Linked DNA regions of Sus scrofa. The protein of the gene in region 1 interacts with the protein of each later gene in a pairwise test. Links are inferred from orthologs where the notes say so. Each region holds a gene or a part of one and is shown in the gene's direction. Other genes may lie near its edges.

The links. The genes of interacting proteins can lie anywhere in the genome.
Region 2: the proteins of CEP72 (region 1) and PIN4 interact in binary tests that used the Homo sapiens proteins (3 or more experiments, as listed by UniProt). The two-hybrid records come from large-scale screens. The link is inferred for Sus scrofa from reciprocal best matches to the Homo sapiens genes CEP72 and PIN4.

The regions. Positions count from the first base shown.
Region 1 is NC_010458.4:79,563,674-79,567,278, reverse strand, and holds part of CEP72 (centrosomal protein of 72 kDa), read left to right. Parts: intron 1-346; coding exon 347-485; intron 486-1,452; coding exon 1,453-1,649; intron 1,650-3,605. UniProt on the Homo sapiens protein: Involved in the recruitment of key centrosomal proteins to the centrosome.
Region 2 is NC_010461.5:58,068,412-58,072,639, forward strand, and holds the start of PIN4 (peptidyl-prolyl cis-trans isomerase NIMA-interacting 4), read left to right. Parts: upstream 1-1,346; 5' UTR 1,347-1,452; coding exon 1,453-1,495; intron 1,496-4,208; coding exon 4,209-4,228.

The DNA.
Region 1 (3,605 bases):
GGGGCTCCCGTGACTGTTCAGGCCAAGAGGGGTCTCCTCCTCCATCCCGGGGTCGCTGGGGCCGGTTCAGGAGGGCCCGGGACCGCTGTCTCTGGACACTGACGGGCTCCCCCACTGTTACACTCGGAGGCAGTTCAGCCGTTCCTCCCCGTGTGCAGGGGCCACATGTGCCAGGCGCAGGGAAGCAATGCCCACATGCCACCCTGCAGGTTGGCGATGCATGTGCCAGTGGTGGGGTGAGGCCCCAGCACAGTGTGCAGCCGACCGCTTTGGAAGCCTTGCGCGGCATTGAACCCCTGGGTTTCAGGGACAGAAACAGCCGAGGCCGTGCATTGTGTCCGTGCAGGTGTGTCCCAGGCTGCCCTTTGCTGTCGCGCCTGGCAAGAGGCCCGCCCTGGAGGGGCTGCTCCTGGAAGCTCTCCTTGACCTGGTGGACAGGTACTGGAGTGGCTGCAGATCGCTGCATGGCAACGAGCTGTTCCTGGGTGAGTCGAGGGCCAGCAGCCCCACTCTGCATGCAGGTGCTCGTGCCCTGCTGGGTTGTGGTCCCCGTGCCTGCGCTGCAGGGACAGTCCTGCTTCTGGGTCCTCCCAGGCAGCAGCCACAGGGAACTTCTCACGGCCGTGGCTCTTGTCTCCCACCTGCTGGCACTCCCTGGGTGTTTGCTTGTCCTTGCTCTGGTTTCGGTGGGGATTGCAGACCTGAGGAAGTTGCTGCTCCAGATCCTCAGAGCATCTGACTGAGTGCAGAGCCCTGGACGTACTGAGGTTTTGCTGCAAATGACTTGCGGCCTAGACCCTCCCAGAGGGGACCTGGGGTTGCTTCCGCCTGGTGCCTGCTCGGGCACACGGGGGACCTGCGTCCAGAGCCAGGGTGTGGGACAGGGAGACGCTTCGTCCCCAGGGCCACCTTCTACAGCCTGGTGCAGCTTCACCTGTCCCAGGAAAGGAGGGACCTGCCAGCTGTCCCCTTTCTAGCAGACCCTGGGCTCCGCCTGGACCTGTCACCTCAGCCCCACCAGAGCCTCCTGAGTGTCTGCTCCGAGTCTCGGCCCCTCAGCTTCTCCTTCTGGAATCAGGGTGCTCTGAGAAGCGGGAGCCCCTGTAAACCCACACCCTCCCAGGGCTGCAGCAGGACTGGTCTGCCTTCCCAGTCGGGGAGCTGCCAGGCTGCGCGGTGCTGGGGAAGAGCGTTCAGACAGACCGTCTCAGCCATGCTGTTCCCGGGCCGCCCTTTTCTCCGGATAGAACAGGTGCTCTGCACCTGCTGGTCATCACCCGGGGCTGGGGCTGAAGAGGCTGATGAGGTCATTTCAGTGGTGTCTGTGTCCCTTTCCAGTCTCCACGCCGGTCCCTGTTTTCGAGGCATGTAGCCCATGTTACTCAAAATGCACTGAGTGTGTTTTGTTTACACGCCTTCTTTCGACGTAAATGCTGTTTTTGATTCTTCCAGCTCAGGCACGACACATTTTGTCATCTCTTCAAGAAGTTACAGCTGCTCAGGACAGTTCAACCACTGTGAGTGAAGAAATTGGCTACCTGACTCTGGAGAATAAGTCTTTGCACAGTCACCTGGGTGAGCTGCAGCGGCAGTGCGGTGCGAAGCTGAGCGAGGTGGTGCTGGAACTTGGCAGCACTCGGAAGGAGATGGTGAGCCCCTCCTGTTTGTTCCTTTTGCTCACCCAAGGGGCAGAGTGAGGGTGGCTTCCCCCGCGGCTGTCGGGTACAGCTCTGGGCCCCCCCTGCCGCCGCCCCCCCGCCCTTCTAGGACCCAGCCCCCTCCCCCCACGCTTTCCCTGCCCCTGGCGCCTCCAGCTGTTCCTCAGAGGCGCTGCCTACCTGCCGCTCCACAACCCCATGTGACAGCGACTGTGGGTGGCAGCATCACCACAGGTCCCAGTCTTGGCTCTCCTGGGTCATCTGCTCTGAGAGGCCAAGCGGGAGAGACGAGAGAGGGTGAGGCTGGGCTTGAGGCGGAGTATCTGTGACCACAGTCTCCCTGGCTCAGGCCCCCAGAGCACTGGGGAGAGAGGTCCCTGTCAGCTGGGTGACCCTGGGCCCCTCCTGCCATCCAGCGGGCATCAGCCCAGCATGGGACCCAAGAGGTCCTGTTGCACCGGGGGAAACTCCGCCGCAAGGTGGCGCCAAAGGGCAGCCAGAGGGCCTCCGCGGTGAGCCCGCTCCTTCCTGGCAGGTCGCCTCGTCCTGTCCTGCGTGACCACCATGGGCCCATCACTCGTAAGTGCCTGTCCTGCGATGGAAAAAAGGTCTCAAGCAACCTAGCTTCACACCTGAGAAACTAGAAAGTAGAAGAGACTAAACTCAGAGTAAGCAGAGGGAAACAAATAATAAAGATCAGAGCAGAAAGAGAGAGTAGAAAAAAATCAACGAAACTGAGCTGGGTTTTGAAAATATACAAAAATCAACAAATCCTTAGACTAAGGTTTGAGAGGAGACTCAGAATCCGAAGTGAAAGGGAGATGTCGCAGTGGGAGCCGCAGAAATAAGAGGGTCGAGGAGTGGTTGTACCCAAGCGTGTCGGAGAGCCTAGAAGAGGGATAAACTCCCGGAGACGTCAGCTGCCAGGACCGTGTCAGGGGGAGCTGACACCTCAGCAGGCCAACAGCGGATTGGCTAGTAAGCCACCCCTTCCCAAAGAAGAGCCAGGAACGGACGGTTTCACGGCCGAACTCCACCACCATGCAGAGAACTGATACTTACCTTCCTAGACGTTTCCCACAAAACAGAGGGAGAGAGAATGCTTTCCGACTCCTCTCCCACAGCCAGTACTGTCCTGATGCCAAAGCCGAAGACACCGCAAGACACGACTGCAGGCCACTATCCCTGCTGGGTGGAGAGATACGATCCCCAACACAAGACAAGTGTGCCGAAGGCAACACATGAAAAAGATGATACGCCACCGCCAAGGGCACTGTCCCCTGGAGTGCCAGCTCGGCTCAGTGGGCACAAACCAGCGCCACGTTAAACACGGGAGGATACAGACCTCACGGTCGGTGCAAAGCATCCGACAAAGTTCAACACGTGCCCACGATTAGAAAAGAAAACCCACTCAAAATCAGTATAAAAAAGTCCCCAACGCAGTAAAGGCCGTTGACGAAGAGCCCTCGGCTTTCCTCGTGGCCAGCGTGCCCCCAGCATCCAGGGCCAGGCAGGGCTGTGCGCTCCTGCAGCTCCTCGGCACGGCGGGCCCGGAGGACCGCTGGCTTCCGCGTGGCTGTCCCAGCTGGTGCTGCGGTACGCGGATGCGGAGCTGCAGGCCTGGAGAGCTGACTGTAAGTTCTGCGCAGGTTTTAAACTGGAGCAGAGTGGGCGCCCCCACCCCCACTCCAGGTTGTTCAGGGGTCAGCTGTCGTAGCAAGAGCAGGCAGACAAGACAAGGTCGAAGCACCCCAGTCGTGAAGAAGTGAGAGGATCTCTCTGTCGATGACGTGGTCATTGATGCGGAGACACTGAAGACGCCGCAGGAGAAAAGGAGAGCAGACAAACCTGGTGAAGGGCCGGTTTCCAAGTCGACATGGCAGGAAGCATTCTTACTTCTTTATATCACCGATTGTTCTGAGAAGGACACCAAGGAAACACTGCCAT
Region 2 (4,228 bases), on another chromosome or scaffold:
AGACAGAAAGACAAAAATAAATAAATAAATAAATAAAAGTAAAAATAAAAAACAAAAACCCAAAACCAAACCAAACAAATATGAACTTGTTGAATACTCTTATCCTTTAAGTAAATATTACTATCAGCAGTTCCATTTTACAGATGATGAAACTGAGCCAAAGAGAAGTCAGGTAACTTCCTCAAGGCCATCTAGGTAGCCAGATGGTGGAGCAGGGATTTGAAGCCAGGTAGTCCAGAATCCACGTTTTTAACTGTATTATGCTTCACTGTGATAGAAATTTTGGAAAATAAGCAGAAACATACACAGGAACTTGTACTAGCACCACTGAGCACACCTTGCTGTAGCCTTCCCGTCTTCCATATGCACATATTATATAGTATACAATATACTTAAAAAGAAAAGAATCATAGGAGTTCCCATCTTGGCTCCGGAGTTAACGAATCTGACAAGCATCCACAAGAATGCAGGTTCAATCCCTGACCTTGCTCAGTGGATTAAGGACCCACTGAACAAGGCCACTTGCCATGAGCTGTGGTAGGTAGGTCGCTGTGGTAGGTAGGTCGCAGATACAGCTCGGATCTTGCGTTGCGGTGGGTTGCTGTGGCGCAGGCCAGGAGCTACAGCTACAATTCGACCCCTAACCTGGGAACCTCCATGTGCCGCGGGGTGCGGCCCTTAAAAAAAAAAATCATATTTTTTAGCTTGGTCTATAACCTTCCTTAAGGCCATTTCTTGTGTCTGTACCCACAGCTTTACACCCATTATTTTTAAAGGGGCCTATCATTTTGTGTTATCGAAACATTATTCATTTAGGCAATGTTCGACATTTAGACTGCTTCCAATTTTTCTCCATGAGAGTTCTGCAAGAGGCAGGGGGGTGATATCCTTTTTTAAAAAACACTTTTTTAACTAAGTCAGCTACAAGCTGCAAAATCAACTTTAAAAACGAAAACCCAAAAGAGACAATCTGCCGCTCGCGTGCAGGATGGGGCAGGACCGAGAAGCAACCGCCGGGTCGCTTCCCGCTTTGCCTTTGTCTGCCCGCCGCGCGAGAATAAGTAGAGCCGGGGCGAGGGACTGCAGAAGCCCGCGGGTACCACTACGCATGCGTGGAAGAGGCGGGCGGGGGAATGAGGGAAGCGGTGCACAAATAAGGTCGAGAGACAGAAGCAGCAAATAGCGCAGAGGCGGGGTTTCCCGTCCCTGCCCAACCTCTAGCTCCGCCCCCCTACCCGGCCCGAGCTTTTTATTGGTCAGATTTGTTTAGCCCCATTGGCCCTAGAGCCAAAGGACCGGGTCTGCCCCAAGATATGCCTGCTTCCTGAGCCGCAGTAAGAATGGCCAATTGCCATGCCGCTTGCAGGCATATGTTTAGGACATACCCGTGGGGCTTGAAGGGGCTTTGTGTGGCAACTAAAGCAACTGAGAGTTCGACGACCAGTTTCGGAGATGCCACCGAAAGGAAAAAGCGCATCGGGAAAAGGGGGGAAAGGTAGAGCAGCCAGAGCAGCTGAGGAGAATGGGGTCGGGTGAAGAGCGAGGGAGCAGACTGGGGATTCCCGGGATCTGGGACGGAGGCAGCGGGTGGCTAGTGACTAGAGCACTGACCAGGAAGTGATATAGTGAGAATTATAGTGATAATTGTTGGAAGCAGTGTGGACTTCTCAGGAAAATTTTTATTTAAAAGCATGGGGGAGTTACCTTGTGGCTCGGCGGGTTAAGAATCAGGAGTTGTCACTACAGCGGCTCGGGTCGCTGCTGTGGCACGTGTTCGATCCTTGGCCTCAGAACTTGCGAATGCCGCGGGGGTGGGGGGCAAAAAATGGGGATTAGATGGTACATAGAAGAGGATTACGAGAAAGTTTGAAATTTTGATTTTGTTTGTTTCTTCACAATGGGCAAAACTTGGGAATGAGGCTGACAGATCCAGTAGGGTTTGAGAGGGAAAGGTACAGAGGCGTGAGACTTAGGAGAAAAACGGTGGATCAGTTATTCTTGGAATAGGAGAGGGTCACAATATGCTTGAGGTCACAGGGAAAGAGATGAAGATGGATGTGATTGTGAAAATTGGAGCCAGAGAGGAGGAGGGGTGGAGTTTCTAGGAGATCAGGTTTAATGACCTCAATATTTTAATAAAGTGGAAGGTAGGGGTAGTTTTTAAGACTCAGGAGGCAGGGACGGAGTAGGGGTCTTGAAGAGAGTGGTAAAGGTTTGAAATTGTCGTTGGGATCATGGGAGAGGGGATGAAACATTAATAAAAGTGTCGCCTTCAGGGCTGAGAGCCTGAATAAGACTGAAGGCCATGACTTTGTAGAGGACATAGCACAGTCATGATTTACTGAGTACCATATAACTGACACAATACAGGACTGAAAAGAGCTAGGTTGTAGCCTTGAGCCAAAGTTAAGATTTTGTTGGACAATGATAACAGAAGAAGAGCAATGTAAGGGAATTACAAGTACCAGTGGAAACGCAGTTCAGATGATCAAGCATGGGATCCAGAGTGGGAAGGGAAGGAGAAGTCTGTTAGTCTAGGGGAACATAGCAGGATAAAGGGATTGAGTGGGAGAGTGGTTTTTGTGGAATTAAAGGGCCTGCGTTGTGGGAATGAGGCATGAGAAAGCTTGGAAGGACAGGAAATTGAGCCAAAGACTGAACCACTAGTTCTGAGTGGCACAGTTCCATCGTGTGCCCCTGGGAACAGGCAGCTTGGAGTAGAAGGCATGGACATTTGGGATGGAGCTCCAGAAGTGCGAGGTTAGGCTGTTGGATGATTCCTCTGCATAGGTGGTAAGGTCATCTAAACTCATGGCAGGAGTGAGGGTGGAATGGAAGCTTGAAGTTGGTGCCAGAGTCCTCAGTCAGAGCCAGTGAGCTGGCCGTCAGAAGATGATAGCATCGAGTAGGGGAGAGGATGGGATAACTGGAAGGCATTATTGTTCTAGTGTCAGTGTACAGCAGACTCACTTAAGAATTTGATGTAATAAAACTCCTGTGGCCGTAACATTCTCCTAGCCATTTGGTGGTCAGAATTTTGGGTTTTCAGTTTGGTTGAACATTTATTGAACAACTGTTGTATGCTAGGCAGTGGAGATCCAAGACAAGTAAGATGGAGAGTCCTGAATAAAACTTTTCAATGGCTCCCTATTACTCCTAGGATCAATTCCAATTTCCTTAATGGGGCCCAAAGACCCGCATACCCTAACCCCCAGCCACCTCCCCTGGGCTCATCTCACCCACTCCCACCTCAGATTTGGCTTCATCCATAGTCTTCTACACATACTGCACTGTTCCCCCACCCTGAAGCGTCTCCCCGCCTTTGTTCTTTCTTTGCCTGGTCAGCTCCTACTCATCCAAGAAAACTTCCCTGACTGGCTAAAATATCCCTCTTTGCTTCCACAGCCACCTGTCTGTAGAGCATACCTCATTCTCCTGAAGAGATCTGCTTTGCATAACTTTATATAACCATCTTCCCAGTAGTATATGAGCTCCCTGAGCAAGGGAGCTTGTTCATCTTTATGTCTTTGCCTGGAACTTAGTTACTTAGGAAATGTTTATTGAACTGAACACTTAATCCAACAATAGTTCTTAGGAACATCAGCCTCCAACAGTAAGTATGCTGCCATCAGTGCAGAAGTTGACATAGTAGCAAAATGACACAGTAGTAAAATGTAAAATGCTGCCAGTGGTTGTTAATCTGAATATCAGTAACTTTTCTTTGGAAGGTATCAATAGGCAATGTAGTAGACTCCAAGAGTCTGGACATGAATGTATTGTTTATCCAAATCTGGATGGTGGGAAATTTGATCTTTAAAATACATTCTTGGAGATTCTACTTATTGGAATTGTGAGTACTCAAATACATGGTTGCAGTGCTTATTAGAAATCTCCCAAGAGCTCAGTGGTTTGCCCTTAGAGGGCAGGATTTCAAAGTGGATGCAAGGAATCCAGGCTGGGCTTTAGGTGCTCCCATTCAACTACAGCACACTTACTTGTGTATCCATTTTCTGTGAAGGGTTTATGTAGGGCACAAATTTCCTGTTTGAAGAGAGGTGAATCATAGATTAATTTAGCTTCATGAAGTAAAGTGTCTACTGAGTTCCCTTTTGAAGCTTAGTGCTATGGTGGAAGTATCAACTCCTGTTATGTTGAACTTCTCTGTAAATAACAAGTTTAAATGAGTACCTGTCATCTCTTCTCTAAAGGAAAAGTAGCCTCTGGGAGT